Lytechinus pictus: one gene and its partners. The protein of the gene in region 3 binds, or shares a complex with, the protein of the main gene of each other region. Links are inferred from orthologs where the notes say so. Each region holds a gene or a part of one and is shown on either strand. Other genes may lie near its edges. The genes, in order: DNA primase small subunit-like, DNA primase large subunit-like and DNA polymerase alpha catalytic subunit-like.

The links.
Region 1: DNA polymerase alpha catalytic subunit-like (region 3) and DNA primase small subunit-like share a complex: the UniProt entries of both Drosophila melanogaster proteins name them as parts of the alpha DNA polymerase complex. The link is inferred for Lytechinus pictus from reciprocal best matches to the Drosophila melanogaster genes PolA1 and Prim1.
Region 2: DNA polymerase alpha catalytic subunit-like (region 3) and DNA primase large subunit-like share a complex: the UniProt entries of both Drosophila melanogaster proteins name them as parts of the alpha DNA polymerase complex. The link is inferred for Lytechinus pictus from reciprocal best matches to the Drosophila melanogaster genes PolA1 and Prim2.

The regions. Positions count from the first base shown.
Region 1 is NC_087245.1:19,760,556-19,771,284, forward strand, and holds the start of DNA primase small subunit-like, read right to left. Parts: upstream 4,899-10,729; 5' UTR 4,884-4,898; coding exon 4,707-4,883; intron 4,063-4,706; coding exon 3,956-4,062; intron 3,310-3,955; coding exon 3,236-3,309; intron 2,238-3,235; coding exon 2,101-2,237; intron 1,551-2,100; coding exon 1,492-1,550; intron 1-1,491. UniProt on the Drosophila melanogaster protein: Catalytic subunit of the DNA primase complex and component of the DNA polymerase alpha complex (also known as the alpha DNA polymerase-primase complex) which play an essential role in the initiation of DNA synthesis.
Region 2 is NC_087261.1:23,510,760-23,522,251, reverse strand, and holds the start of DNA primase large subunit-like, read right to left. Parts: upstream 5,268-11,492; 5' UTR 5,121-5,267; coding exon 4,967-5,120; intron 3,750-4,966; coding exon 3,640-3,749; intron 2,785-3,639; coding exon 2,705-2,784; intron 2,144-2,704; coding exon 2,023-2,143; intron 813-2,022; coding exon 660-812; intron 60-659; coding exon 1-59. UniProt on the Drosophila melanogaster protein: Regulatory subunit of the DNA primase complex and component of the DNA polymerase alpha complex (also known as the alpha DNA polymerase-primase complex) which play an essential role in the initiation of DNA synthesis.
Region 3 is NC_087260.1:5,127,800-5,139,531, reverse strand, and holds the start of DNA polymerase alpha catalytic subunit-like, read right to left. Parts: upstream 5,097-11,732; 5' UTR 4,835-5,096; coding exon 4,804-4,834; intron 1-4,803. UniProt on the Drosophila melanogaster protein: Catalytic subunit of the DNA polymerase alpha complex (also known as the alpha DNA polymerase-primase complex) which plays an essential role in the initiation of DNA synthesis.

The DNA of each region.
Region 1 (10,729 bases), on a different chromosome or scaffold from region 3:
TTGCGTAATCATGTCTGGCAAGGAGCGAGTGATAGGCCACGTGGCAGAGAGTAGGGCGTGTTGAGCCTGTTTCCACGGCAACGCTCGCTGTTTGAGCTCGAGGGATTTGCGGTGCACGGCAGTGAGACAGTTCTTTGCTTATTGGATTACCAAATTAGGTCATGACCTGATAGAGCGTGCCGTCAGGTCAGAGTGTTAGCTGCCCTTTTTTTAAGACATGCTAAGCTGGTCTAGTCTAGTGGCTAACTAACCCTCCTTTTCGTTATTTCATACATTTTCTGATGAAAACTGAAGCCCCCGCACCCTGAATGCCCAGGTGGGTGTTTCATAAAGCTGTTCTTAAGTTAAGAGCGACTGGTGATCCTTACATATGGCGAATGGTATATTCATTAGCGATGGTTTTGCGCGTAAGAAAGGATCACCAGTCGTTCTTAAAGTCGCTCTTAACTTACGAACAGCTTTATGAAACGGCCCCCAGATCTCTTAATTTTTCCGGTGTACAATTGATTGAAAGTCTTTAAGATTTCAGAAGATGTAAAATTGGATTACAATGGATTGCAAGTTTCTTGCAAATACGGTACCTCTCTCTTGACCGATTGATCGAGAGAGATAAAAAATAAAAATAAATAAAAGCATAGCTAAGCTAGCCAAGCACTAGTAACACGAGCTGTTTACGTAAGTTCATGGGCGCCCTCGTGCACGTTTGTATTAGTTTACAAAGAATTGGAAGAAATACAAAAACAGAAGAAAATAACATGGAGATATACAAGAAAAAATTGACTGTATCATTATCCTGGTATTTCTTTCAATTTTGATTACTTTATAGACGAGGTCCCATAGAATTGAATATTGTAATTATGATTGTTGTGAGTTGCCGTGTCGACCGACCTGGACTGAAAAACAACATTGCCGATCTTTGCTGGGCAGCCTGGGCTAGCTAGCGCGCGCTGAGCTGCGGCTCCAATCAGAGGAGTTAATTGCGTAATGCTTTCAATTTCGAGATCAGAGCGGACCCATTTCGTGGTACAAAGTCACCCCAAAAAACATTTTCTCTCCGGAATAAAAGGCGAATTTGCAAATTGTAAGTTTGTAAGCTCTAGGCTAGGTTAGTAGTTGGCATATATTTTCCTGATTTGAGCCTGTATAAGTGTAGGGATTGCAGAAATAATATTTTTCATTTTTCAAAGATAAATTGACTTGCGGGTTAAAACCCGACGGGTCAGCGGGTACCGCTTGCAAATTATTGGATTATACGGGACTGTACGGTTCGGGTTTTCACTTGCGGGTTACAACATTAGCAGATATTATGTATGTAACTAGGCTTATTTCAACAAGTACCAAGAAAAGTTCAATTATAAAAGCACACTTTTGAAAAGGGCCCTAAATTAATGCTTGAATGAAGTCTGATAATAGAAGAAATCTACTTAGTCCACTGTTTTGTAACATGGTACAACTGAAACCACCTTTGTGAATATGAGACTAGAAACTCACTCTACAGATGGATGTAGCTGCTCTGGAAGACTGACTTTCTTCACCTGATTTTCTCCTCCCTGAACAAATAAACAGAAAATCAACTTTGTCCATAACTCAGCTCTAAATCTCCAATATTCTAATTTACAAATTGTCATTATCAAGCTGTTTCTAATCTAACTTCAAAGATCTTATACTCTGAATTGTTACCCTTTTAACCGTCAATACATTGAGCGGATGTGAGCTTCTAATTCAAATGATGGCCCTTATAATGCATCACATATTTAACCTACAAAACCATATAAAATCTGTATTATTCCAAATGAAGAATAAGTAAAAAAAGAAATGAACATTACTGTGGAGATAAATAGTTACAATACAAACATGATGGGCATCACATGAGTATCGACAGTTCTCGCTTAGAGAATAGTGATATATTATCACATGAAAAAAAAAAATGTGGTGTCATGGCTGGTCTGCATAATAAATTCCTCACAGAATTCATACTAAAATAATTGGAACCCTCCTACAGTCAGAATATTCATATACTATATAAAGCAATTAGATACTTATAATATCAACATTACCATATGCAAATTTATTCTCTATTTATAGGTAGCTAATGATTACCTTGACAATGCTGAGATACTCTGCGATTGCTGACCGTGCATTCTGAGATAGTTTTCTAGCAGCCTCATCGCACACCCAACAATGAACACCACGTCGCCCTGAGTAGACCCACAAACGATGCTCAAAACCAAAGTCATCTGCACAAATGATCAATTCAAAAGTTTTTGCTTGAATTTATCAGCTCATAATGTTATATTGTTGAATTATTCAAGGGCACAGCCATATTTCATCTGTTTGTAAATTTTATTAATTTAGTCATTTGTCAAATTCTTCAGTGTAGCACAATTTCTTGTCCAACCGTAGACAAATAAAATAGTCAATTAAGAATTAAAAACAGTTTGGATATGTACACAATCAAGTCAAATTACTTTTTTTTTCTTTTACTTTATTATTTATAATTATATTGCAATGAATCAATTGAAATGATAATTGCTGATGGATCCTTGTTACATTTGTTTCGCCAAATTAACTGTTGCCAGTATCAGTTGTATACTTTTAATTCATGTTTCTTTTAATATTCTTATACTGACCTGGATGGAGGTAAAGGGGTGAGGGAAGGAAGACCTGTGGGTCGTGGTAATTTAGTTAACCTTTTCCAAACCCAGGCAGCCCCTTTATCTCTATTCCAGGTCCTTTGTATTATGTCACGTATTTTATGTAATTTGTATTGTACTATAATTCATGTATTTTGAAATGCCGAATAAATAATAATAATAATAAATTGTAATCACTCCACCGGTCTGTCGGAGTTATAGTGCAATCTTGGGGTGAGAAATGGTAGTAAACACATACAGCATCATAATAGGCCGATATATTAAAGCAAGAATTTTGACAAGTACTGCATGGTACTCTTATGTCCAAAGTCCCACTTGGTTGATGATATTACATGGAACTTAAGAAATTTAGTTCTTAAACTGATAAAATGTATTTCATCAGTTCATCGATCTACCAGTCTGCAGAAAATGGCACTGGTGACTGGCAACATCAGTCGGTTCAACCCGGCCCTAGTTTCTTAATGCTCGATGCTTGTTCCAAGAATTTGGGATTTATTTCACTCAAAATATTAATGTTAGCTGTCATATTCTTGTGAAATATACATCCACATTGTATTTCAAAATATCTATAGAGGTCATACCATAGAGGGCACTGTCCACAATCTTTATTGCAATCGTCATCAGGGGCCAACATTTGGAGCATATATCTGCACCTCTGTAATGAGTAGACAATAATATTGAAATAAAGATAAAACAGTTGTAAAAGTTATTATATTCTTTGATACATATCAAATCTTCTCATCAAGCAACTAAAAGATAAATACCGGTATCTCCTACGTGCTTATGCCATTATGCCTCTGCAAATTTTCGTATACATCTGTATGTCAAATGATCATTGTAAACTTTTGACCTGAACATAGCAAAATAATCACTTATAGTGTTGCAAACTTGTTGTAATCATTTCACGATACTCTTTCCTCTTTTCCTATCATTTTATACCAACAACATTCATATAAATTCTTATAGAGAACTAGGATGCAAAAAGGGGAGCCGCCCACGAAACTAAAAGAAGGAATTTATTTACCGCCATTTTTGTAGAAATAATCTATTCTGTGGTGCACTAGAATTATCATCCCTGGTTTACCTCGAGCTGCCACTTCCAGGGTCAGTGCCAGATACCCATTCACGTCATCACGGTTGAGTGCAACACAATGTAAATAACAACACACCATGGTTGGGATTTGAATCCACAACCCTCTGTCTGAAAGTCACAACCACCAGACCACAACAAGCCTATGGGAGATAAATCAAAATATGCCCCTTATTTCAGGAGCAATCACTATACATTTTATTTCACTTACTGGCAACAACTCCTGACATCATCATAATCCGTCATATCAATATCAAAGACAAGCTCTTTCTCCTGGGCTTGAAATGCAGCCGCCTTTAACGTCCGATGATCTTTGGGCTAAAAAGTTCAGAAATGAAGGATATAAAGAGAGTATAATTCAAGGAATTAAAAAGAGGTCTCATCTGCAATCTTACCCCCCCCCTTATCAAATCTATTTTCCTGCCAATCCTGTCATGAAATAATCAGATGAATTGTTTTCCCTCAACACAATTATAGAATTCATAAACTGGTAGGTTGTGAAAAATGTTAGTGGTACAGTGGATTTGAAATAAAAAAGCAAGTCGAACATTGTGAAATAATGAGAACTAGTTGATAATCGAGTATGCTGAAAATCACCAAACAAATGATCTTCAATTACAGCTGAATATGCTGACATGTATGTTTCCACTAAATGTATTTCTGGTGGTTAAAAGTTGCAGTAAAATTTTTATCATTCCACAATCAAAATGATTTGCATATTTCTTTATATTATTTATTCAATATCATGCATTTACATTTGTTTAATGCCACTGAACTTCTGTAGTTTTGTATTAAATTCAATAAAAATCCCATGGAAGCACATTGTATGATACATGCACATTGAGATAATGGTATTCAAAATACTAGATTTATCTTCTATATCTTGATTAATTTTCACCACCACAAACATCTTTCTTTGTGAAAAGGTTAAACAGGTTTTAAAATGGCCCTACGTAAAATACCTTGTGCGTGAATACAGCGCCGATATCAATCTTGTATGGACATCTTTTCTGTATCTCTTTCTCCAATTCATTCTGGTCACTGAACGATTGGTAGCGGATGTAGATGTCGTTCTCAAGAGTGAAGGAAAACTCACGATTCAAAAAGTAGCTCTTTGGAACTGTATGGACAAATTGCATTAAGATTTAGGTTGAAACATTGAAAATGCAAAAGAGGAGGGAAATAATGCAATTGTCAATGGTCCGATCAGCTTAACAAACAAAGCATTGCATGGTTTAAATTGTCTGGCTGGCAATGGGCCAAACAATTGGACATAATAAATTTGTGTTTGCTAACTAATCTTATTTTTTCTTTTTAGCTGCATGTTCAACGATTCTTTCCAATATTATGCTCGTTCGTATCAAGTTCTATCGATGCGCCGTCGATGTTCGTCGACGGCTCTAACATTATACAGTAAACCTCGCGGACGGTAACTTGAGAACTAGTAGTCGACGATCACCCACAATCTGTAGAGGCGCACGGCCCAGATGGGAGACTCTCTCCAATATGGAAGACAATCTCCCATGTTGGAGACTTGCTTTGCAAAAGGACAAAAGAAACAACACCAACAAAAGCATGATTTTTTCCACCCAAAATTTTGTCTCACTGAGGTCAGAAGCCCATTTGTTTTGTGTGTGAATGACAACAAAAATCCTTATCAAAACAAAAGTAGACGGTGAATTTTTAAAGTAGACGTTGAAAAGGGGTAATTTTTCATGAGGAATCTGCTTATCACATTTTTATTTGCCGCCAAGGTAATCCTTTTGCAGCAAATGTAAACAAAGGAAGTTGGTCTCCCAAACTGGAGACTGTCTCTGAAATTGGATACCCAAATTCTTTACGAAAGTCTCTGATATTGGAGTAATCTCCCACATGGGAGACAGTCTCCCATATTAGCCTTGCGCCTCTACTGACCACCCATGGGTGCATCTCTGCCGCCGTGTACAGGAAAATTGAGGCACGGCGCATTCAACAATTCAACAAACTCCTGCAAATCTAATAAGAGGATTTACAGAATGAAATCCTCCTACGAAACTTACCAAACGATGTGAAGTCAATTCCTCCTAATATGGTGATTATCCCTCAAAAAGCATCATTTAAGCGTTAATTTTTCTTCTCATTGACCACAAAATACAAAGCAACCTTGCGAGTTGTCAAATTTTTCGTCTAATGAGCGAAAGAGGGCGCGCGATTTATCTTCGTATCAAAGACACTACAAGGGAAAGACTAGACACAAAAACTATCTTACACGTAAATCGATGCAAAGCGTTACGCGAAGTTGGCAAAGTGTCTGAGCTTTTTACTGTAAAGACTTTGGTGGAACGTTAATTGACAAACGAACGGTAGCACTTGCGAGGCTTTGTTCAAGGTACGTAGAATTTTCTATATTTTTTGTTTAATTTGTCATCGCTTTGAATATTTTCCAAAACGTATTATCGTCAGCAAAAATAATAAAAAAGTATGTTTTTTAAGTTATTGCATTTATTGGTGTCTCTATTATATCAAACAATCATTGGAATTGCGCATACCATGAATAAAAAATCTATTTAAAAAATACCGTCAAGCTGAATTAAGGTTGTGAATTGTATTAGCGCCACCAACGACCTTCCTTTTATTTCCGTCAAAGAGACATGCAAAGCAACTTTCCAGGCCGAGGTAAGCAATTTTGCTCTTTTTTTGCATGCTTTTTCCATGAATAAAATTTGTAAAATTGAAAATGGAACGCTTTTCACCAGAAAAAGCCCTGGTGAGTAGCGGAATGAGTTTCGGCTAACATTATTCGCGTTATGAAGCGATGTTAACCGGCAACTCTAAAATCCATACTGTAAACACGTACGTGGTGACGGTGGTGCGAGGTTCATATAAGTACATACTATAAACCTCGCAATACGTGTGAGTGTCTACTGACATTAGTCAACACACCCCACCAGTTCAACATTCGATCGAAGGAGCGGATGAGATTGAAATTCGGCAAATCAGGCCCATATTTCCATCAGAAAATATATCAATTGTTAATGCAAAACTGTTATATGATATTTTAAGCATTTTCTGTCATTTTAGAGATAAATAAGGTAAAACTAAAAATTAAACTATCAAGTAGGCCCCTAAACTAAAAAAGTAAAACTAAAAAGTTGGATTTTTTCGCCTTGTCTTTGCAATCTTGTTCTATGGGCATAATCGTGATATAGTCCCCAAATCCAAAAATGGGGATTATTAGAATCACACCTACCAGAACGCATGAAAATCACTTCCTTTCTCCAGAACACAGTCCCCAACTCTCTCACAGCTCGAGAACTTGCGAAATGATAACACACACAAATGAAACACACACTTGGATTCTCTCCCTATTATATACTTGTGATACAGTCCCCACTCTACGGGAAATCAAGTTCACTTTGCACGCAGTGGGGATAGCTCCAACAGTATATATACTCGTGATACCGTCCCCTCACAACATAAAATCGTGCTCGTTCGACAAGGGGATGGGGACAGTTTCCCAGTGCAACGTGACAAGGAGGACTCATTCAAAACCTTCGGGAATTATTATTATTATTGTCATTATCATATTATATTATCATTATTATCATTTTATCATTATATTATTATTGTTATTTAATCATAATTATAATTATTATTGTTATTATCATTATTAATATTATTGTTATTTAATCATAATTATCATTATTATTATTGCTATTATCATTATTATTATTATTATTAATATCATTATTATTTTTACTATCATCATCATATATCATTATTTTTTTATTATTTTTGTTGTTATTATTATTATTATAATGATAATGATAATATCATAAATTATTATATTATCATTATTATTATTATTCTTTATCATTGAAAATGTGCCCCTTCCATCCATTCTGTTCCTTGTATTTCATTTAATTCCTTCAAATGAAATCACTGTAGACTCATAATAACGTTTGGGTATTAATTATTATCATAATTATTATCATCATTGGCATCATTTTCATTTTTGTTGTCGTTATTATTGAAAGAGTCACCCCAAAACATTAAAGTAATCAATACAAATATGTGACGGAAATGAAAATAAAGTAATGATAACAACAATAGTATAATGATGGTGATGATGATAATAAAGATTAATAACAATAATGATGTTGATAATAATTATGATAAAGGTTAATATAATGTTAATAATAGAGAATAATAACAATAATAATAATTATTGTAAAATAATCAATAAAAGATAAATAATGTTAACAAAAAATAAGGATAACAATATTAGGTAAATAATAAATAAATACCATAAAAAATAATGACAATAATGATGATAATAATTACGATAATACCCAAAAGTTATGAATGAGTCTATACAGTGATTTAATTTGAAGGAATTAAATGAAATACAAGGAACGGACTGGATTGAAGGGGCACATTTCCAATGATAAAGAATAATAATGATAATAATAATATAATAATTTATTATACTATTATCACTGTTATGATGATAATAATAACAACAACAATAAAGAATAATATTTATTATGATGATAGTAATAATAATAAAATAAATAATAATAATGATAATTATGATTAAATAACAATAATAATAATTATGATAAAATAATAATAATGATAAAATGATAATATAATATGATGATGACAATAATAATAATAATAATTCCCGAAGGTTTTGAATGAGTCTTCCTTGTCACGTTGCACTGGGAAACTGTCCCCATCCCCTTGTCGAACGAGCACGATTTTATGTTGTGAGGGGACGGTATCACGAGTATATACTGTTGGAGCTATCCCCACTGCGTGCAAAGTGAACTGTGTATCCCATAGCGCGGGGACTGTATCACGAGTATACTATACTGTTGAAACTGTCCCCACCGCCGTGAAAATCAAACTTGTTTTCCCGCAGAGTGGGGACTGTATCACGAGTATATAATAGGGAGAGAACCAAAGTGTAAGTGTGTTTCATTTGTGTGTGTTATCATTTCGCAAGTTCTCGAGCTGTGCGAATCTAATAATCCCCATTTTTGGATTTGGGGACGGCCAAATTCGCTATTGTGCCCAAGCGCCATTAAAACTGCTCAGCCCAGTGAAAATTCTTATCGCTAGACGTGCGTAAGAGCATGTGCGACCGGTGTCACACATGACCGCACAATAACAAAGCTCAGTCAGCGGGATATCGGCGTTCAGTGAAGTGGCGTGTTAATGGGTATTTCAGCTGTGCGAGAGAGGGGCGGGGATTAGGGATTGGGGGGGGGTGAAGGGGCACTAAAATATATGAAATCGGCGGGTTTTCAATAAAATACTATGTGCATCGTATTTTCGTTTTCTTTTTGTGTTTTCTGTATGATACATGGTTGGTAGATTTATTCCTCATTCATTCATTCCATCCAATTTATTCATCATACTGTGCATTTCATTTCATATTATATTATATTACGTAACACTGTTTTACTAACCTTATTTTTTCTGTCCATGATGGGGATCGAACTCGAACCTTCTGATCTGCAGTCCAGCATCGTAGTCAGCATGCCACATGAGATGAGCTGACAGCCGAAACTGGTTTAGCGCTCAAGTCGTACGGAGGTTTCCCCGGCGGCAGTTATAGCAGGCCAGGGAATCAACGATCAGTGATTTAATTCATTAGAAAATATATATATTGGTACCAATAATTCCAAACAGGATTTTGTTATTTTTTTCACTTCGTTTATATTATCGCTATGTATTTTAACACGATGTGCGTTTACTATTGAGTATATTGAGTCACCTGAAATAACACCCGGAACATTTCTCTGTTTAGGCAACAGGGGGCCTAAACATGGAACAAAAAACTCACGCAACTAGTTTGCACTTGATGTTCGTAGTCGGCGTGTAGGCCTAAAACTTTATTTTAACATATATATAGCTTCCTTTTTTTCATTCTAAACTCCCAAGTTATCCCCTCTACAGCAAACCTCATGTCGATATCGGTCCGCCAATATACGATCTTCTCGGATATTTTCAAATAAATGTGGCATTTTGGTAGGCACGGCAAAATTGAAAAAAAAAGTATGCACAAGAAATTGTAAATAATTTCATATACTCACTTTTGCGTTATCCTTCTTGGTTATATATAAATGCCCCGTTATATTGAATTTTAACCTCCTTCACTCCTTCCGCCAAAATATTCCAAGTCAACAAATTTCCTCATTTTTTTTTCGCCCGGCAAGCTCATCAATCATCTCTCTCAAACCTTTCTTTCTTCACTCTAATCCTCTCAAACCATCCTCACTCTAATCCTCTGCGAAAAGTTGCGCCCTCCATGTCAATCGTGCCCCACTGACATCAAGATGTGTCTTGCCGCATCTCGCACATAATGCATAAACTTTTATGCATGATTTTATATATTCATGAACTTTCACTTCATGCTGTATTTTTATGTTGTTTCCCAATTTTCCTCCTTCGCAATATTGCTTTATTCCGTAATTGTTAAACTCTATATAGGGCATTTTATTATGTCCAACATTTTTGCGTATCTTTTCTACTCTTCCATCGTCACCCTATCATAAATGGATTTTGTCAATGTTAGCTTATTTTTATTTTCCTCAAGAAAGAGCAAGACGAACTTTTAATGGTACAGATGTATATTTCAAAGGTGATTAGCTGCAAATATACGGAATAATGGAAAAACATATGTTAAAACGCAATTTGAATTTTTTGATGGGCAAATTGATTAAGGTGCTAGTATAGTGACAAACTTCACTAAATACGGGATAAAGCTTATAGAGAAAACTTGGTGAGCATAGGGACGAATCAACCGAGATTCTAATAATTACTATTGACCGGAGGGCGGGAAAAGTGGTGTTCTGGGTTTGAAATGTCTGGCTGGGCGGGGGGTAGAGCGAAGGAAAAGTATATAAGGCAACAAAAATGGGAGGCATATTCGGGTGTTAGTATAAAATCTTCAACAAAATACGTAAAAACCGATATAGTAAAGTTGAAACGCAAT
Region 2 (11,492 bases), on a different chromosome or scaffold from region 3:
GACCTGAAAGCAGTCAGAACGATGGACACCAGCTCACTGTGAGGTACAAAGGCATATCCCTGCAAGAAAAAAAAAAGGACCCCAGAGAATGAAAGAAATGGTATTAGTGCCAATTTACTCCTGTATATCTCATAATTTACTATTCAATGCTGCTCTAATTATCTTCAGTTGTTCATTCATTCATTCATTAATTCATCCACTCACTCACTCACCACTCACTCACTCACTCACTCACACACTCACTCACTCACTCACTATACAAACGTTTATATTCATTTTATAGTCATTTAATCCATTCACTCTTCAAAGCATCTATTCATTTCCTCACCTATGCAATTACTTGTTTACTCTCTCACTTTGGTCATTGTTCAATCCATTTTAAGTCACTCACTAAGCACTTTTGCCCCCGAATTGCCCTCAAAAGACCCCTGGACAATCCCCATTGAATGCAGTATTAAAGCTTTTCCAATGTAACAGATTTTAAATGAATAAATAAATATATTTTTATAAAATGCCTGGTCCAAGACCATCCAAGGATTTTGGCTTGGATCGCCTTCTTTTTCTTGAAATGTGCCACATAGAAAATTGGCAACGCCCTGAAAAAAAAACCCAAAGAATTAATGCCAGTGGTTCCTCATCATCTTAAACAATGGTCTAACCTTCTGAATGAAGACCTTTCGTCCTCTGACAAGGTCCAGGGCCTCGGTGAAGGGAACCTTGAAGAAGTCTGTATGGGCCATCATTGATGCGCTGATCCCCGCTGAAGATCTCACCAACTTCTCATTCAATGCATCTTTCTCGTTCTCAGGGATCTGTAAGATAAAAGTGAAAATAACAGCAATGTTTCAAGACATATGTTTATATATCTACAGAAAAAAATTGGTATCATACAGTGTACTTCTATCCATCCATCTGCCGGAGTATCCTTTTTCGTTGTTTGAACATGGGTTACTACGCCTCTCCATTTTTAAATCTCATAGTTTTCCACCATCACTTAAAGTCTTATTATTTTATTCAACTCCAGTTCTTGAAAAAAATACCGATCCCAGCATTTCTAATTATTCCTCGTCTTCTTCAATTCTACTTTTCCCTTGATCTCTTTCATTTATGAGACTTTTTTTTGCTTTTATAATCATTCTGCCTTCAGCACTGAGGTGGCAGGAATAAGGAGTTTCTCTACCCCCTCCCCCTTTCTCTTCCTTCACCTTTCCCCTCCATCTCTTTCATTTACATGTACAAGACTTTTGTCTGCCTTCAGCATTGAGTTGGTAAGAATATGTGTGATTAAAGGTTTCTCTTATACCTCCTTCCCCTCTTCCCCCTCCCCTAGCTCGCTGTCGTTTACAAGACTATTGTGTTTTTACAATCCCTCTGCCTTTAGCATTTAGTTGGCAAGAATATGTGTGCTTAACCCTTTGAACTCTGAATTAATTGGGACGGTCGTGACCCTCACCTTGAATTATTTGGGCACTATCAGCAAAAATGAAAGAACATATGACGTTTGAAATGAGCCTTGCTATGTCAGCGGCACCTCACTCTGCTGGTCCCGGCCTGGCCCGGCTGATGTTTTATAGCTACCCGTACCAACTATAATCTCAAATTTTGTCTCAAAATTATTGCTTTGACAGAAGTAAATTCAAAAGTAGCTTATGCACGGTCCGTATACACATCACCATGTATCATCGCACGAATCTCCTTGGTAGGGCAGTATATTTTGGTCATTTTTACGGTAAAACTTTATAAATGGAAGCCATTCATCCATGAAATTATAAACTGAAGTTATCGACAAAATATCTGTATTAAATATTAATTGATATCTAAAAACAATTGCTTTCCAATCACACGACTTGAAGCCTGTATTCCGGGTATATGCGCGTTCACGGTGAAGCCGGTATTCCGGCTTTTCGGGTTCAAAGGGTTAAGGTGCTTCTCTAAACCCCTACCTCTTTCCCCTCCCACTCCTTAAAATCATTTCAATCAATGGATATGATGTACAAGAAAATTAATTAATGCTCTACTCACTGGAGTGTAATGAAGTTTGTTCTCAGCCAGAAATTGCGTGACAGATTCACTGTATTCCCTCAGGAATCGATACCTGAACAGATCAAGCTCTTGCTGGATGAACCATCGCCTGAGGTCTTCCCTATAAAGCACCATTAGAAGAAACAAAAAGGTACATGTAGAGCCTAAAAAAATATATGAAATGTGAAACACAACTCATCGGTTCTTTTGACTAACATCTCGTATCTTATCAAAACAATTGTTATCTTTAAATGGTAGGTTAGTGATGATTATTTAAACAGATTTAATTAAGAAGTTACACGTAGTTAATGCAAAAAGAATGTGTATTGCACATCCAATGTTAAATCTATACCAGTATCACAATTATGACATAGAAATAAAACCAATTTTTATCCTAAAATGACACCATTCTGAGCCACATTTGTATGCATGGAGATGGACATATTCTAAGTTTACTTAATCTACATGAACTATAATTGAGATTTGTCCAATAGGGCCTATATTGTTTACGATGTAAAGAAAATTTAACAAAATGTTTTTACATTCCCACAACTATACTAAAGATACTATTTTTAACCCTCAAAGTCTTTATAAATCTTCCAAAGAGCCGAGATAGATTAGATATGGGCTCAGCTAGTCTACAATGGGTTAAACAAAGAGTAACCCTTTGTATTCAACTTACGATCTGCAGTAAGCCAACCTCAAGATGAAATGGGAGATCCGATCATCTCTCTTGTGAGCTGCCAAGTCTTCCCCACTCATCTGTCATGGTAGAATATAAAAAAAGAAGTTACAATGGAAAATATTTATTTATTAAACATTGATGCAATATTTGTTTGGTTGTTTGTGGCTTGGGTTCCAGAGCATAACTGTGAGAAAGTTGTTGCATCATCAACAGTCAGCAGCAACATGTTAGCATCATGATTGCGGTCACCATAGGCCTATAGTCTCTTTCCTGCATCATCATCACACCCACCCTACCATCGTAAACCCTTGACTGCTATCATCGCCTTCCCCATCTTCATAATCCCTTATTGCTATCATCATCATCATCATCATCATCATCATCATCATCATCACCATCATCATCATCATCACTGTCACCATCATCATCATCATCATCGTCACCATCATCATTATCACCACTATCGTCATTATCATTTTCATCCTTATCATCATCAGTCATCATCATCATCTTTATCATCTCCATCATCACTGTCAGAATCCTCATTATTATCATTATAAATCATCATCACCATCATCATCCCTATCATAATCATAGTAAAAATATCATTATGACTCAGTTTATGCATCACAGTATCCCCCCTCTCCACCCCCTCATCCTCTTCATCTCCATACTCATCAATTCATCATCATCATCATCATCATCCCTATCATAATCATAGTTAAAATATCATTATGACTCAGTTCATGCATTACAGGATCCCCCCTTCTCTCTCTGTGAATGCTATCCAAACCCTCCCCATCATCTCCGTCATCATCATCATCATCATCACCATCAGCACCATCATCATCATTGAAATATTACTAGATTCATGAAAATCAGGCCTCTCTCTCTCTCTGGAACTATTAAACAGTTGTGAATATTTACAATACCTTCTTGTGGGCAATGGGCATCAATTTTTTTAGTTCTTTGTCCATTCTTTCGTTATACTCCTCACTTCCTTTGACATGCCGGATACCAACAGACTCAACATGCTTCAGAACTAAAAAAACAAAATTAAAGGGAAATCACTCAACAATAATAATTATTTTTTTTTACTTTTCTTATGTTATAGTGAGATCTAGACCTGACTTGTTAATATAACTATTTTGTGAAAAATAAGTTGAACTTTAAAATACCTTTCTTATTATTTTTCATCTGATTTTGATGAAATTTTCAGCATTTTTTTAAATGCTTGTTGGAGTTTCCTCTAGATTTAAATCAATATTTTTCTTGTGTGGACTAGACCTTTAACATTTGGGCTAAACAGTTAACGTTAGGCAGTTGTGAGAATAGTACATTCACCCCCCCCCCAAAAAAAAAAAAATTGACCTGGAGTCTGGACCCTAACACATTCGATTTTAACTTCCTTCATATCATGTTCTTGCACTCTTCGTCCCGGGGGGGGGGGGGGGGGGGGTTACTCAGCATGCCATTGTTTGTATGTACATGTATGTGCCACGCTCGACCCTTTTTTTCAGCCTAAATTTCTGCTCCAGAGCATCATCAATTCAGGCAGCCATTGAGACACCCATGGGTGCATTACTGCTGCTGTGTACAGGAAAATTGAAGGCATGCAAAATTTCAACAAACTCCCGCGAATTTCAGAAGAGGATTTATAAAATCAAGTCCTACGAAACTTACCGAACGATGTGAAGTCAATTCCCCCTAATATGATATAGCCTATCCCTCAATCATTTAAGCGTTGATTTTTCTTCTCGTTGACAAAATACGGAGTTTGCTTCTATTTCCCAAATTTTTTGTCTAATTAGCTAAAGAGGGCGTGCGATTTATCTTCATATCAAAGACACTACAAGTACAAATAGTACAACTTGTACAAGTAGAGGGAAAGACTAGGCACAAAAACTATTTTACACGTAAATCGATGCAAAGCGTTACGCGAAGTCGGCAAAGTGTCCAGTCTTTTTACTGTAAAGACTTTGGTGAAACATTATGATTTATTGACAAACGAAGGGTAGCTCTTGCGGGCTTCATTCAAATTTCAAGGTCCGTAGAATTTTCTCTTTTTTTTGTTTAATTTGTCATCGCTTTCAATATTTTCCAAAAAGTATTAATTATCGTCAGCAAAAATAATATAAAAAGTAGGCCCCTATGTTTTTTAAGTTATTGCATTTATTGGTGTCTCTATTTTATCAAACAATCATGGGAATTGCGCGTACATTGCGCTTGAAAACTGCAAGCAAGAAATCGCCGACTTACCTGCCAATCTTCGTTTAGCAAGATCCTCAAATTCACTGAGGGAAATGTTCTCAATTGGTGGAATCCGATAAAACAGCAAATGGGGTTCTTTGGTTTTGTCAATGAACGACTCCTTCTTGATCCTCTTCTTCGTGGTGTTCTCTGAGAATTCCATGTTAATGATAAATCTGGATGAAATACCTCTCTGTCTTCAGAAGAAATATTAAAAGTGGTCCGCGCCACACGCAGTGAATTCGAATCAATCGAAAAAGATTGTAATGTTGTGCCGAAAGTTTCCCGTACTAAATTTCCCGCGTTTGCCAAAATCAACCGCGAGAGGGTGTTCTCCACTTCCGCAAACACAAATCCAAGATGGCAGCGCCCATGAGCCTCAAGATATGTGCGAGATGGATTTTAAAATCAGGGAACATTTCAAGATTTCAAGCATTGCGTGCACCATTTTTAGAATTTAGATACTTCTCATCGATTCCGTCCTGTAAATCATTGGTTTACGATAAATACGGAGATCCAGTAAAAGTGTTAAAGTGAGTTCACCTGATATTTTGTCCCCTAGCGTTAAGCCCAGTCCCACACATTGTAATCTAAGTTAGAGTGTCTACGTGGGAAATATAGGCCCGTATTCTGAAGCCTTCTTCTTCTTCTGAAACAGTACAGTCCACCGCCTGGTGTATTGTCGTACTTAAGTTATGTTTAAACGCACCCATGGGTGTATATTACTGCCGTCGTGTACAGGTAAATTGAAGGCACAGCGCATGCAAAATTGCAACAAACTCCCGCGAATTTCACAAGAGCTCGACAGAGTAGAGGAGACCGTCGATTTATAAAATAAAGTCATACGAGAAGAAACTTACTGAACGATTAGACCAAAAGCTTCAGTCTCTGTATTTTGGTTGTTCCGCTGAACTAGTTTACGTTGGCTCCACTCACCATACATAGACTGAAGGGGATGGGGCCCCGTACCTACAGCCAACGTATAGTGAACTAGCGTTTTATAGATCGCGATTTAAAACTGTTTTTTAAGCAAAATTGAAAGTTTCATGGTTTCCATTATCAGGGAAATATAAATAACTTAAGTAATTGCATACCTTGGGCTAACCCAGAGAGCTCCAGCCCGCGTAGCGGGCTGGAGCCCAGACGCGCAGTGTACAAACGGGCATTCAGGTGAGAGTACCGTGAAGTTTGGTCAATATCATTTACATAATACATAATTTAAACAGAAATTAAGCACTTACCACGATTGTATGGATGATAGTCTAACGAGTGGCAGTTTCCTGACATCGAGGCACAGACTGGAACCTCAAAAAACGATCAGTTCTGTCGCGGTGGCTCTCCTTCTTTCAAAATTCATAGCAAAATGGCCGTTCGAGAGGGTGTAGGGCGCATGCGCGAATTTGACAAAGTCTATATGCGCTAGTGCTATACTAGCCTCGGTCTCGATCGGCCATTTTGTGTTGAATTCTGAAAGAGGAGAGCTACCGCGACAGAACTGATCGTTTTTTGAGGTTCCAGTCTGTGCCTCGATGTCAGGAAACTGCCACTCGTTAGACTATCATCCATACAATCGTGGTAAGTGCTTAATTTCTGTTTAAATTATGTATTATGTAAATGATATTGACCAAACTTCACGGTACTCTCACCTGAATGCCCGTTTGTACACTGCGCGTCTGGGCTCCAGCCCGCTACGCGGGCTGGAGCTCTCTGGGTTAACCTTGGGCCGGAGTTATTGAAAAAAATCCTCTGGATGATCATGATGATTGAGAAATCTGTCATCTACAGTAGAGGCGCTGGTCAGAAAATTGGGATCGTCCCAGTTTACAGGGACTGTCTCAGTTTATAAGGATTTCTTCACACAAGAAATCTAGGAAAGTTCATTCACCTGTCAAGTGCCGACACCAATCAAGCGTGCTAGTCAATGTAAACATATCGGCCCGTATTCTGATAGCAGGTTTAACTTAACCCTAGTCTAAAGTTAACCCTGGTTTAACTAAACCTCCTCTAAACCTCACCTCTGGTCTAAGTGTAGTTTAATTATTTTGGTATTCTGATAGCCAGGTTTAACTAAACCTGGGCTAAACCCGGGTTTAAATTCTGTTTGGAAATAATAATCCTCTTTTAACCAAGACTAGCACCTTTGTGGTAAATTACTGCTGCAGGGATGACTGCAACGAAGTTGAAAAAATGTCACTAAAGTTGTTTTTTCTTAAAAATTTGGATTTTATGGAAACTAATTACAACTATTGTAGTGAAAGAAAAACATTCATCACCCATATATGGTAAGAAATTTTCTTTCAGATTATCTTTATATTTTTTAATTACTAAAACATTTCAATCCCAAACCGAGTGACCTGCATAGTTTTTTGTGTATCAGTCCCATTTATTGCTTTTCACGTTTGTCAAAATCTAAATTGACTAGATTCCCCTCACCCACTCTAGACTAGAGTCTAGACTCTAGTCCTAGATCTAAAACAATAAGTTAAATGGTCGACAATATTATTCTAACTTTAAGTAAGAGAAATTTTTTGTAACTTTTGAGAGTAGTCTTGGGTCTAACATTAGGCCTATAGGCCCTACTCAGTACTAGCCTAGGCCAACAATTGTTTGGACTCCTTTTTTTGGAGGAGAATTGAAGTTTTGAACATTGTTTTGACTTTTTTACTTTCCTGAAGCAAAACGTACCGTCTATTTAGTGGAGCAACCGAGACTGAAGCTACATATTGGTCTAGGCTAAGAACAACATTCAGGACTTAGACTGGCTTAGCCTGCCCTTGGGACAGGGATAGATATAGATTGCTTTTCTAACCTTACTTAGATCTAGTGGAATAGATCTGATTTGTCTTCTTACATACATGTAGACAAAAAGCTTTGAACAGTCTCTGCATTGGTTGTTCCGCTGAACTATGACAGTCTACGTTGGCCTCTCTCACCAAGGCAATGTGATATGACAGTAAAATGTCAGAATTTTTAAAATAAATCCCGTTAGATCTGACTATCGCTGCATTGCTTGCCAAGTAACTAGGCCTGGCAAAATTTAGAATTAGTCCTAGACATCTCTCTACTCCTGTTTAGGTCCATATCTGTTTCTTTGAAGTTTTTTTTATTTAAACATTTTGGGGGACTTGTTTAGGTTTCCAGGTCCAGGACTAGAAAACAGGCCTAAACCTAGACCAACGGCTCAGTCTTGACTAGACTAGGCCTGACCTAGATTTATGTAAGAATTTAGATCCAGGCCTAAGGTTAGTCTGTGCTATCTATTCATTCTAGATTCTATTTCTAGCCTAGCCGGTAGCCCTAATGTTAGGACTGGCTGATCTAGTCTACTGTATGATCTGGAATCTCTAACGCTGGCCTAGGCTAGATCTAGACCTAGAACTAGATCTATAACAATCTAGGTCTACATGTAATATGTCTAGATCTAGAGATTTGTAGACTCTCAACATGCTCAATGTAGATTCCTAAATCAAAAAGTAGTAAATGTAGGCTAGTCTACAGTAGATCTAATGTAAGGCCTTTAAAGGAAGTAACGTTAGGCTAGAGATCTAACGTTGGATTATTTCTATTGCTAGATCTAAAGGATCTAGATCTAGGCCTAGATCTAAAGCTAGGGACTGTAGTTCGAGATCTAGAGGTCTAGCACTCCCTTAAAACTAGAACTAAGCCTACAGCTACATGTAGTTTTCTGTGTAGCCAAACAACAGTTAGCATTGACCATTGTCTTAATCTTATTTTGGTGTGTGTATAGTTACCATACAAACACACATTTTGATGAATGAGAAAATGTGTCTTGCAGATTATTTTACCTCAAGACTAATGTGTGTGCTAAATTTTATGAGCATTTGAAAAAAGATGAAGTTCGAACTACCAAATTTTCACCTTATTTTCGTTATTTAATATGTTGTTACCATGGCAACACGATTTCTAATACAGACAAAAATATATCTTAGACATCTTCACCTCAACATGAATGTATGTGCCAAATTTTTAAGAGAATTGACCAGTTGGAAACTGATAAAGTAGTTCAAATCACTTGATTTTCATCTAACTTTGATATTTGATTTGTTACCATGGCAACATTATTTTTTTACAAAGTCATAAAATATATTTTGCACATCTTTACATCAAGACTAATGTTTGTGCCACATTTCATGAGAATTGGTTGAAACTGAGAAAATAGTTGGAATTGAAAATTTTTTAAATGGTTTTTGCCATAATATACCGTTACCATGGCAACACAATTTCCGACACATGCAAAAAATGTGTCTTGCAAATCTTCATCTCAAGACTTATGTATGTGCCAAATATCATGAGAAATGGTTTAAAAATTATAAAGTAATTAAATTTTTCACCTCATTTTCGATATTTAATATGTTGTTACCATGGCAACGCAATTATATACTTTAGGCATAGCATATGTTTTGCACATCTTCACAATAAGACTAATGTATGTGCCAAATTTCATGAGAATTGGTTAAAAACTGAGGAAGTAGTATTTTTGCCATAATATACCGTTACCATGGCAACACAATTTCCGACACATTAAAAAATGTGTCTTGCACATCTTTACCTCATAATCAATGAGTGAGCCAACTTTCTTGAGAATTGGTAGAAAACTGATGAAAGTATTTTAAACGGCAAAATTTTGGCCATAATATACTGTTGCCATGGCAACACAATCTCCAAAAAAGGAAAAAAAAACTTCTTACACCTCCTTACCTTGAGAACAATGTGTGTTCCAAATTTCATGAGAATCGGTTAAAAACTGAGGAAGTAGCTTGTAATGCAATATAGGCATAAATTCTAAAAAAATTGTTGGCCATGATTTGTTGGATTTAAACCAGGCTTAAACTACCCCCTGCGCGAGTTTAACTTTTTGAGGATTTATTACCACACTTAGACCAGGGTTAACTTAAACCTTGCTATCGGAATACGAAACTTAAACCTAGGTTTAAATATGGCAGTTTATTACCACACTTAGACTAGGGTTAAGTTAAACCACGCTATCAGAATACGGGCCATCGGGTTTCATAACAAGATTATGGGAAGACAGTAAGTCATGAAAAATAGACGGTGAACTGGGGGGAATTGAGGTCACTGAATCTATTTTTAGCACTCTCAATTCCCGTAATTGCTCTCTTTGTCCCGTAGGGGGAAGTGAAAAAAAAACGTCCCCATAAACAAGGACAGTCTCAATTTATCAAGACATGATTTGTCTTGGTTTATGAGGATATCCTTGTTTTCCGGGACAATCCCAATTTTTGGACCAGCGCCTCTAGACATTTTCACCTGACCTGACGGTTTTTCTTGCAAGTTGCCATCTTGAATGACGTCATTATCGTTATTAACTTAATGTCTCGAATCGATATATCGCGATTATAACTAGTACTAGTACTAGTATAACTAGTATCGTTTATCTTCGGTTTCGTTCGCATATGGAGCAGATCGTATAATATCGAAAGCAATATCGATATCACATTCGTGATTGTTGACGCCCTCTCCGTTCGTTTGTAAATATTTTATAGTTTGGCTGCCATTTTGACCATTTTTATCGTGTTCAACCCAATTAAACATCGGTAAAGTATAATTTTCATGCCTTTTTCATCTATATCGTTTAAAGTATTTAAATATTGGAATATCAAGTTTTAAAAGTTTGTTGTTTATACATCCTTAGATTGTAAATTCGATGTGTAAAATTACATCAAACTTTGGACTGTGAATTGACAAAAGGGAGGGAATGAGAACACATGCGAGCCCACACGTACACCCTACCGTCGGTAAATGGGGATTACAGTAAAATGTCAGAAATTGTTGAATAAATCCCCAGAAACGACGGTTATTCCTGTCTACTGAACGATGTGAAGTCAATTCCCCCTAATATGATGAATATCCCTCAAACAGTAGAGGCGCACGGCCAATATGGGAGACTCTCACTCTCTCCAATAGGGGAGACAATCTCCCACATGTCAATTTGTCATTGGAGACTTGCTTTGCAAAAGGACAAAAGAAACAACACCAACAAAAGCATGATTTTTTCCACCCAAAATTTTGTCTCACTGCGGTCAGAAGCCCTTTTTTTTTTTTATACCGCATCTACTGGAAAAATACAGTTGTTCCTGCAGTCAAGTTTCCAGGTCTATCTTGTTGTTTTCCTAGCTTGGATAAGTTCGAAAACTGAGTCTGTGCTATTTGTGCAATGTGCTGTGCCAATGTATTGAAATGAAAAAGGCACTATTCCCATGCGTGAACATAATTTCACGCAGACCAGAGGAGCGTTTCATGAAAGGACTTGTCGGACGTTTTATCCGACAAGTCCCATTTTATCCGACAGATACCATAGTAACAGTACATCTCAGCCAATCAACATCAGAGAAAGATGTCAGATCTGACAACTTGTCGGATGAAAATGTTGATGAAACACTCCCCATAACTTGTCTAACTTTGTCTTGAAGCCATTGATTGTTGATGCTGTGACTACCTCAGTAGGCAAAGAGTTCCAGTCATTAACCACTCTAACACTGAAGGTGTTTTGTCT
Region 3 (11,732 bases):
AATATAAAAAATAACCCTCTACTCCGAAGCCCATGGTCCTGTAAAAAAAAAAATGTTCTTATAAATTCTGTATGTAACATCAACCCATATTATAATTACCAAATGACCTCTGATGTCATCCCCCCCTGACTGCTCAATCAACTGGACATTATGTTTAAACGATAGAATTCACACTGTACCGCATACCTTTGTATAATCTTCTGTAACAACATTCTTGAAATTTACATGTACTTGATATCAAAACAAAAAGTAATAAAACAAAACAATGACTGTCTAACTACTCTTCAGGCAAACAAAAATGTATTTTTTATGAAAAAATAATTCTTCTTAGCCAAATAACCGAACGTTATTTCTACTTCAAAAATTTACTGTCTATATCACTTTTTTTTTTTTTATTATCTTGATATCATCCACACACAAATCAAATGGGCTTCAGAAAGCAGCGAGACAAAATTTTGGTATGGAATAATTACCTTCTTGGTGGTGTTGTTTTTTTTTAAATCTTTTTGCAAATCAAGTCTCAAATATTGGGGATTGTCTCCCAGTTTCATATTGGAGAGTCTCAATATCTGCTGTACGTGTGCATCTTACTCTCTATACTGTCTAACGTTAGTCTCAAGACAATTGAATATGATCCAAGACCAAGGCTGAGGCAAGACTTAGAAAACTAGGATGACGCTCAGTTTGGACCAGTACCACATGTTAATAGGCCTAAGGGCCAACTCTCATCTAACGTGCAAACGCATTTATAGTTTGCCATCAGCAATTTGTTACCACTGGCCATTCACCTGTCACTGCCAGACCAAAAGGGTTCTTGAAATCATAAGGGTGTCTTTAACCTCCATCTGATACGATAATCTTACCTTTGTCTGCGTTACTTCTTTTTTAAGGCAATGCAAAACTATTGTGTGCAAAATAAGGTCACACTTTTTCATGACACTTTTTCAGCTGAGCACGCACTGGTCAATTGCCATATTGAGATCGTGATACTATCTATTTTATAATTCTGTCGAGCGATTTTGACTCTTCGATCTCGCTTTTGGTATTAATGATTTTGGTTCACTTTGTATAAATTGCGAGATATTTTTGATTGAATATCAACTTCATGCTAATTTTCAAAAGTACATTGCAGAGTCAAGATCTAGATTGCTAGACCTGCTACGTGCGCAAATCACCCCATCATAGAAGATGATCAACTCATCAATGCTATCGAGTGCGATGTACTGCTAATCTCCCAAGAGCGGAGGATCAAAACCAGTAGAAGTGCCGGTCAGCAAATTGGGATCGTCCCAGTTTACAGGTACTGTCTCAGTTTTCAAAGATTTATCCACACAAGAAATCTAGGAAAGTTCATTCACCTGTCAAGTGCCGACAACAATTGAGTGCGCTAGTCAATGTAAACATATCAGGTTTCATAACAAGATTATTGGAAGACGGAGAACTGGGGGAATCCAGGTCTTTTATACACGAGAAAATGAGGGCTCTGGAAAAGTATTTCTTTGAGGAAAACGCTTCTAAAGTTGGACTTCCATTTTGCCCTTGTGATGCTTTTTCCAGCAGTTAATGTCGATTTCATTATGAAAACGGCCTTAGCAACAGTGCATAGGATATCTAGTTATCTAAAACTTCAGATTTTAATCATTTGAGAGATGATTTATAATGTTTTTCATGGGAGAAATCCAAGTTTTTTCCCAGCTCCGATAACCTTCCCGCCGCGGCTCGCGATAGTTATTTTGGTATTGTGTAATACGTACTTTCAGGGAATCAGGGGGAGTGTGGGACCGGACAAAGGAGGTATATAGCTTCGCATGGACATTCATGAAGGCGAGATTTGCTCCCGGTTTTGCTCTCATATGTTTAAAAGAGTGTAATCTGGATAAAGCGCATTTTGTTTAGAATAAGTTCTTTAAGACATGGTAAAAAAGAAATGTTCCGAGTTTGATTTACATGTATCTAATCTAATCCTTTAAGAGGCCTATCCCACACTTTGTCGATGACTTTATACCTGGAGTCACGATCAATATTATGATCTGACAGTTCATGCATTTTCTTTTAGTTTATCATCCTTGCAGTGAGAACCATAGGCACAATGGTCACGATTATTGACCAATCGGACGTTTTCCCCTATTTTCTTAACTCTTCCTTTTTTCAAACATTTTTTCACACCTTCTTTAAGATGAGCTGGTGAGCCGCCCTGTAATGCATCTTCATTAAACCAAGTTTTTACAAGAGTATTTGAGTTGGTCAAACTACACTTTCCATCAAAACACAATATAATTTTTGTCATGTCATCTTTCTACTTCTCTGCATTTTACTTCTTGTTTTTTTAAATCTTTTTTGTCCAATTTAAAAATAAAGTTATAAGTATTAAATCAAAATTTTAAAGAATCAATGTTTTAAAGAATTAGTACTGACAAATCAATTGTTTTTTGTGGATTCTACGCATGAATATTTTGTGTAAAATTTGTTTTTTATCGTGTTCTCACCCTGGATCTGCCGCCCCTTTCTTTTTCTTTTTTTCACTGAAAATACTGGAAAGAGTTCCATATGCACCCCCCACCAAAAATAACAAAAGATTGTTGAGACTTCCGGTTCGTTCACTTCAGATTTTTCTATCATTTTTTTTACTGTTGCTTACCTTAGTTGGGACTCGAACTCACCTCGTTTGATCTGCAGTCAAGACCTTTCCCGCTATGCTAGCAAGAAGCGCTGATACCGGAAGGGGTATTTTTACGATTATCAGCCGATAGTTCGACTAGTCTTGACTCGCAGACCCTTTACTGACTAAATAAACCGATGTCTATGGACAATTACACGCACAAGATCTTGCTCGAAATTTGACGGAATAAAGCCATATTTTGGTATGTATTTTCACTTCCCCATCATATACATGTATGTTCGATATTAGGGCTAGATATATTATTCTGAACCTTCTCCATGTTTTTATTTTCAATTTTAGTGGGGGGTGCATATGGAACTCTTACCAAAATACTCGTATTCACTTTAAAAACACATTTTGTAGCTCAGTTTTAAAATTGATCTCTCTTTTCAAAGTGTCATCTGGTGTTTTATTCAAAACACTGGAGCGAAGTGAAAGAGCCCGAGCGTGATCAGAATAATGCTCTTTTTCCAGTGCCCTTCTAGCTTCTAGACTTTAACTTGCAATCAAATTTAAACCCAAAAGTCAACTGCCTTCTTTCACCTTCTTTTAGTGGTTGCTCTATTTATCCCTCGATCCTCACTATCCCCGACCCATGCTGATCTGGCCCATCCCTATAGAATTCGCTGACCTTAGGCTTTGTTCTGTCTTTCTCAGACCCGGAGGATGAGGGGAGGGTCAGGTCCATCGATCGCCTTTTGTCCTCGCTTTTGTATCATCTTAATGAGTCATGATTATCAAACCATTAAAACTTCTTTCAAACCTCTTAGCGTTTAACTCTTTTGTCCAGCAGGCGCTCGTTTTATCTTGATACACGCCTGGCACCTCTTTCCAAAACATGTACGCTTTTAAGTACCACCCTTGATCATGGATTTCTTGCTCAATTACTTTATTCAAATTCAATTTTTTGGTTTGAATCGTCCGAACAGTGCAGTGATCATGAATTGAACTTAAGCACACGTCATAAATTGCGTAATTTCATTGCCGAAATCACGTGATGAATGACCAATAATTAGTGAATGCATGTGTCGCTAGGGGGCGGAGCTTTATGCAGAGGGAAAATTGACGTCTAAATTAAGCTTTCCCAAACCTCGCTCGTTTTATAAACCAAAAAAAAAAATAGATCTAGATCTACTCGCAGAGAAACTGTTTTTCTGCACTTTCACTTGGCTTTGTCTTTGACTTGATCTAGGGCCTATCCCTTTTGCTAAATTACAGACCATTCTTGAACTTGAAACACGGTAGAGAGGGCCAAGATCCACAATATGAAGAAATCGAAATTTTCAAAACGTTCAAGTACTTTTTTGTACTTTGCCATTATTTATATCAACTTCTCACCACGCGACTTGTGTCTAGTTTCGAGAAGTCACATTTTTGATCACCCGATTAAAAGTGGTTGTCAAAACCACTTACAAATACAATTACATTTCATGTAACTAACCTATTAAAGACGTGAAGTGGTTTAAATCATTGAAAGACCACTTCAACCATTCATGTACAATACTAGACCAAAAGCTTCGGTCTCTGTTATGTTGGTTGTTCAGCTGAACTCCGTTGGCTTCACCCACCAAATACAGAGACCGAAGTTCTAGCGCGATCTGTACAGGGGACTCAATGGCCATATGTTTATGTACTTAAGATCGGATAAAACGGGGAAGTGAATTTGCGCGATAGCCGAGGTAAGTCACTATTTTTGTTCCTTTTAACTTGATTTTTCTCCGTTTTTTGGCAATTGATGCCAAGAGGGAATGTTAATTTGCATTTTGGTCGCGTGAATTTTCAAAATTTGTACTCATTAAAGACAAAAATTGAAGAGCCCCGACGGGGGGATTTTGCATTGCAAGTCCCCTAATGGTGGCTGCACGCTAGCGAGCCGTCTCACGTCTGTGTATGACAGTATGAGGAGAAATTAAAAAAAAAAAAATGTTAAAAAACTCCTCGAAACAGACGGCTGCCAGCTGTCTAGTACAATACATGTTTAACTAGTTTCCAGAAAACTAGATGAGTTACTACTAGTTAGTTTTACTAAGGACGGTAACGTTATGTTACTTGTTAGTGAGAACGGAGAGCGTCAATGACAAAAAAGGAGGCTTCAAAATTTTTAAAGTGTCCGGACACTCGACCCCCATCCTAACTTTTTTTACCATTTTCTCTGTCATCCATCACTGGTGCCATCCTCTGGATCTAGATCTAAATCAGCAGCAAATCAGCAGCCAGGTAAGGGGAGCGTGTGGGTAAATTGTGTCAGTCGTGAAGCATCGAATCTGCCCAGGCCCAAGTGAAGCCGAGGAAACACAAGCCTGTACTGTAGACCGGGCACCGTCGAAAGATCAGGCGGACGGACTGCCGTGATAAAATAGTGCCACTTCGCTCACCGTACCGGCGCTTCCGTCCCCGTACTTGGGGATCGACATGAACAATGGCGCGCCAGAAAAACAAACTCCGCGCGAAATTTGATTTAGACTGGTCCATTTTGTTAGATGGGTAAATATCATATTGCAAATCTAAAACTAATTTACACGAAATCCTTAAAATGGTTTAAATGTATCAGAAAAATTCAAGGATACATATTTTATTATTATTTTAAGGTTTTATCATAAGCTTATGTAAAATAGAATTGGGAATATAGATTTGAATAAAGTATTCTTTATCAGCTTTCCATTCATAATAAGTGAACTCGTCCACAACAATCTCTCTAAAATTTATAATTAATATATTTTAAAAGTTTTGAGTTATTATTTTGTTTCAATTCCTAAGTGTAGATAAATAAAATAAATATATTCAAATCATATATTTTTACCTTTTAGTTGATGATTTTATATGCATATTTAAAAAAAAATAAGTTTTTAAATGAATTAAAACAATTAAAATTGGCCTCAACTTAATCCACGTACCCGCACCCTCAGCTCGGATCCGGAGCAAGGACCAGGCTCGGGTAAATATTTTTTAAGTTGATAAAATACGTTTTGCTTTCTTTTTAGGTTTATTCAAGTATATTCCGGGGGTTTATGTCCCGAACCCTTCCCTAGTGCTGATTCAGGAAAAATCATTTACAATTATTCATGGAATTACTAATGCTTTTCCTCGCCGGAAATCCTGCCAGAGCCAGAAGCAGAGGTCCAGGCAGTGCAGAGGCAGAGCCGGGCCGAGGCAGCCGGCAGAGGGGTAACCCAGGGAACTCCCCCCCGCGCAGCGGGCGGGAGCCCAGGGGCTTACCGTGTATTTGACCATACTCACAGGACTAGCGTGATTTATGGTCTAAATATTTCTCCAAATGAATTGTGAAAACAGAAATTATGCACTTACCACGATTATATGGATGAAGGTCAAACGAGTACGAGTCAGTAGAGTACTAGAGACTAGAGTCTAGACTAAAAAATAGAGAGTAGAGTAGAGCCTAGATAGGCACGCTCACGCATCACAAGAGGGCGCTTTTTCGCGAGCTCCGTTCGCTGTACAAAAATTGCGACCGGCGGCGGCAGCGTGACGAAGCGAAATTGAGCTCCAGAGCCATGGCATGGCGTTCTTCAATCCACTCATACATGTATATATCGAATGCTAGAAAAATGATTTAGACACCATATGGCTGTGTGACGTATAGACTTACCATCTGACTCATCGGCACTTCCAGCGAACCAACGAACGACGATCGAGAGGCCTGGAAAATCACTTGTAAGTACCAAATTTGCCTGATTTTGTAGAAATCTTGACTTTTATGAATAATTATATTACTTGCACACTGATGCATCATGATTCATGATGAAGATGAAATTCTAAGCTTTAATTTAACACCGAAATTACGTGGGAAGAACTTAGCGGATGAAAGCGATTCAGCTTGATGCACAGGCCTGTTGCAGGCAAAATTGTCGCGATTTAGCGCCTTCGCGCTCTTGAATTTCGCGGGGGGGATTTGGCGTCTGCTTCATCTGCCCTGCACAGTCCCGCGTATCGCTTTCAGTGTGCACATTTGCACTCACTTATTACGTAGGTAATATTATTTTCTTCATTAGTTAGTCATGGACCAATTTAACATTTTATTCACTTTAAAAATTTGTTATATTACAATGAACTAGATGCATAACAAAGCACACAACCTATTATTTCCTGTTCATTATGAATCATGATGGATTTACATCTTATTCTCAGACTTTTGTTTTTACTTGTTTTCACTGTCTTCAGTTTATTTTTTATTTTTAGATCATGTATTGATATCGGAATATGGTATGATTTTTTAAATTTTTTTTCCTTTTATGAATATTTGATCTATTATAGACTTGGGGAAATCGATTATTTTACACACTCAGTGTTTCTATTTGTAAACTAATAAATTGTAAAATGCTACATTTTTTTTCAGAAATAAATTGGTGAAAGGGGGGGGGGGGGAGGTGCTCCGTTCTATATTATGATTTTTTTCCTTTAAATCTCTATGAAAATCACATGTATTTTTATTTTCAAAGCCCTTATTGACAATCTTTTTTACTATGATTTGATTTATTTTCTTTTATTATTATTTTTGTTTCCTTCAGGTTTCGTAATCTATTCCTGAAAACGCTAAATCGAGTCCATTATCAACTCATCATCCGCATGTCTGGCGACTGGCGAGAAAATTTCCAGGCCGATTGTGAACATCAGTCCAGGCCAAGGATGAAGCCATGAACGACCATATCTGGCTAATGCCACATGACAAGATCTCTATGCTGGATTACAGCTAGCATATGACTAGCTTGAGAAATTTAAATATTCAAGAAAGAAACATAAGATTCTTATCTATTATTTTTTTATTATTTAGAGTTCTGTTTTGTTTGAATTTTTCGTTCTATTTTTCATGTTTTGTTCTCGCAAAATTCTTGGAAAAAAATGATTTCTGTGTCATGTACTCCTAACAATTTCAGCACCATTATTGCACATATTTTTTTCTGCACTGCACTGGGAAAGGGGAGGGGGGGAGTAATTTTTCTTCCAGTATTTTATCATGAGGTGTCATGATTTTTATCTTAATGGCACTTACGTTCTCAGGAATTTTTCTTCATATATGAACTGTGGTCGAAAATCTGAATTATGGAATTGTAATAACTATTATTCAATTGTTTAAAGGGTTTTTTCAGCAAGGTTGCATCATTATTTTGCCTTCCAGATATTATTATTTGGCTTTAATATAAGATCATGGCCAAAATGTCAGAAGAGGTGGATCATCTGCTCCAGCTACCAGCTGATAGGATTACTAATGGAGTTGTCATTGATCTACTGCCAAAACTCACAAGAGGAGAGGGAATTACATGGTCACAATTTCATGAAATAGTTCAAAACAAATATGACTCTGAATGTTCTTTAAAGGCCCTTCAGACCAAGTTAACAAGGATCTATGGAAGGTACATGAAACTAAACAAAACAAAACAAACTAAAGACCAAAATGATGTGAAGGTCAACTATCTGCAAGAACCTTTCGAGCCCCCAGGAAAAATTGTTCAACCTCCAAAGAATGCTAAAGTAGACCAAGATCACGATGCTGCTAGTCCTAAAAAGAGAAAAGTCTATTCAAATGATCAAGTAGAAAATTTAGGAAAAGAACTTGAGAGATTCAAGGACATAGTACAAAAAACAGAGAGGGAAGTAATGACTTACAAGAAGAAAGTGAAGCACCTTGAGAAGGAACTGAAAAAGAATAAAGAAAAGGTTCAGTCTTTCACATCTATATTTGGCAGTGTAAGAGGTGGAAGAAAACGGATTACCGAAACAATAAAGCGACTTAAACAATCTAAAAGGGAATGGAGGATAAACTACCAAATGACAAAGAGTGAAGAAAAACGGAAGACAATTGAAATTACGAGACTTCGAGCACAATTGCAAGAAGAAAAGAGAAGACGTCAAAGAATTCAAAAGAAATACACAGAGCAAGAAAAAATCAAGGTCGCCCAGAAGCAACAGGAGATTGAACAACTCAAAGAAACTGTTGAAAATCTTCAAGATGAAAAAAACAAGTCCCATCATCCTCAACAAATCCAAACCAAGATTGGTCAGTCCTACACCCCTCAGATAAGAGAAGCATCCTACTATTTACAGGTTGGCTTTGAATCAAGTTGATTTATAAAAAATAAAGTGATAGGAATTAAGTCATATAATGTTCATAATAGTAATTTCAAAACTCCCCTTGTGACATTTTTAATATGTAAAACAGGTAATTGATCAGATACATGATTGTTTCCTGTGATACAGTACTGGAAACTGATCACAAAGACCCAATTTCATAGAATATTGTAATATGGTAAACTTTGCCATTCCGGGGTAACTTGTCTGGAATCTTTGATTTTGATTGGTTGGTGATTAGCATTACCATGGGATGGCAAAATTACCATTATATTAGCTTGTATGCAAAGTTGCCCTGGTCTATGATATAAAAATTACCTACTTCAATTGTTATAAAAATGTAGCGATTATTGCTTTTACATTTTTCATTAATAGCAAGGATGTTAAAAGGGATTGAAGTTCACTCAAATGCAAACAGAATAATTCAAGAATAGGATCTTTGAAACCTTGATAACAATTGGGCAAAAAAGTTATGATGAGCATGTGTATGTGGATAACAGCATAGCTTATTATTTATCCAAAACTTCCAGTCTTCTACAGTTCAACTGGTTTCAAGGATTTCATTCATCATTATTGTTCACAATGAATTTATTTCTAGAGCATGTTTTATTTCTTCCTATATTTAAACCATTTTAGATAATTTTAAGTTTGACTCAGTAATCTATAAGCATGTACTAAATTTCTTAAGTTTAAGTAATTTTTACAAAGTTTAATACTGTTTTAATAACAAAAAGTCTCATTATAATTGTTCTGGCAAAAAAGGCAAAGCCCAAATATGCTAACCCCAAATCTAACACTACACATTGATTTTCCTAACATAGTTTTAAACAAACTTCTGTCAAACCCTAACCGTAACCAACTGTCCTTGGATCAATTGCCACAAGAGCAAATGTCACATCATTCTGATAAAGATTGCATGCAAAATTATTACTGTATCCCTCCCCACTTTTATAAATAAATTACAGAACCTAGGAGTCGCAGAAGGCAAAGTAAGTGAAGCAATTAGAGTTGTTGCAGAAACTCTATGTGATGTGACCTTCACAAATGAGCTACCGTCTCGGCAAACTCAAGGACGCTTTGCTTCTGAGATGAAGGCAATTTGTCGGGACCAGATTGAGGAGCATTTTGTGTCAAAAAGCAATACAACATTAAAGTATGATGGGACAACAAAATCGCGAGTTGGTCACCTAGTAGAATGCGAACTAGCTTCTAAAGAGAAAACGTACTTGGTAGGATTACGTCAGCAAGCTGGAGGAACAAGCGACGAATATGTCAGTGCTATCAACGAATCTCTATCGGATGTGAATCCTTTACTGCTTGACGGCATAGCAAATACGATGACGGATCGAGCGAGTGTAAATACAGCAATAGACAGGAAACTTTCTGACCTGAAAGGGGAATCTCATATCAACAGCTTCAGATGTGGGATGCACCCTCTGGACACCCTTGGCAAGGCATGCGATAATGCATTAAAGGAGAGTGAAAGCCAAGATAAATATCATAGACTTTTCAAGAAGAGAGGGGAGAGTAATACCGCATGCCTCATCAGAAAGGTAGCTGATTTATTCCATAATGAGGCAACTGGATGTGGCATTGCTCTGACATCCTTTCTGAAGACTGCTGGTTGTCCAGCGACAACATTCCCAAGATGGGTAGGAAATCGATTTAACATTTTATTTAAATCTGCCAAGTGCTTAGTTGCGATGATGCCATTTATTTTGAATTACTTTCAGAAAGTTCAGAAGCCCACAAATGATTTACAATCAGCTTTGTACCAGTATCTTCAAGATCCCCACCTTCAGGCTTGTATTTGTTGTTTAGCTCTTATTTCACTCAAGATTACGGAGCCATGGATGAAGATGGTAGGTACAGCAGACAACATTCTTGGAATTAACACTGCATACCAGGAAGCAGTCAATTGTATGTCGAGTTGGGAGATGGATCCACAACTGATGCTCTCTACCAATAGATGTGCCTTTGGAGAATGTGCAGCTATACCATTCATTGACGACATGAATGATGACAAAAAAGCTCCTCTATGTCCTATCTTGGGGAAAATGATGCACGAATGTGTCATTGTGTGCAAGAGACAACTAGAAGACCAATTGCAAGGGGGAGTCTTTTGGGAACCAGGACAGGATCTATGTGAAGCTGCTGCTACGTGTTCATCTACAAACATATCTGGTGAACGTCAGTTTGCAAAGGCAGACTCTCTCTTACACAGAGCACCAAACATTTCAGTAGGAAAGATGGAAGCCAAGGTAATGTTTTCCTCCAATGACACAAGGGATTGGTTGGAAGGTAAATCTGCAGAAGAGAAAAAGAAAACAATTACTTCAGCAATGAAGAAAGGGAAGGAGGTACGTAAACATGATATAATTCTCTCATCACATGTATCAAAAGCAGTAAAAGAGAAAAATGAAGCAAACAGACTTTCACTGACAGAAAAGGAGAAGAAACACAGAGAGAAAATTGAAGAAGTGATAGAGCATGTATTGGAGGAAGGTGTAATGGAAGGCACCACATCAATTGACAAAGTTCTCTCCAAGAAGACATCAAAGACAAGCAAGAAATTTTTTCTTACAAATCAAATCAAATTGCAGCAATTGATTAATCCATCCCCAAACAAGCAATACCTATCAAAATGTAATGTTGAAGAACTACATCAGATCCTAGAAAATGAGTGTACCAGGAATCAAGGTGATGAAAAAATGAAAAATATCCTGATGTTGATCAAACACCCCACCTCCCTCATAAGAAAGAATTTCACCCAAAAATGGGAAGACAACCAAGGGGTGGAAGTGTGGTGGAATGGTGTCGTTCAAAACTATAATGGCAAGGAATATGAAATAGAGTTCAACGAATTAGAGGAGTTCTTCTATATGACCCAATCCGAAATTATTTGTGACATAATTTGTAATGACCTTAAAATCCTATAATGACACTGTGGATTGACGCCTAACCAAAGGACGCGAGGCCACAATGGGAT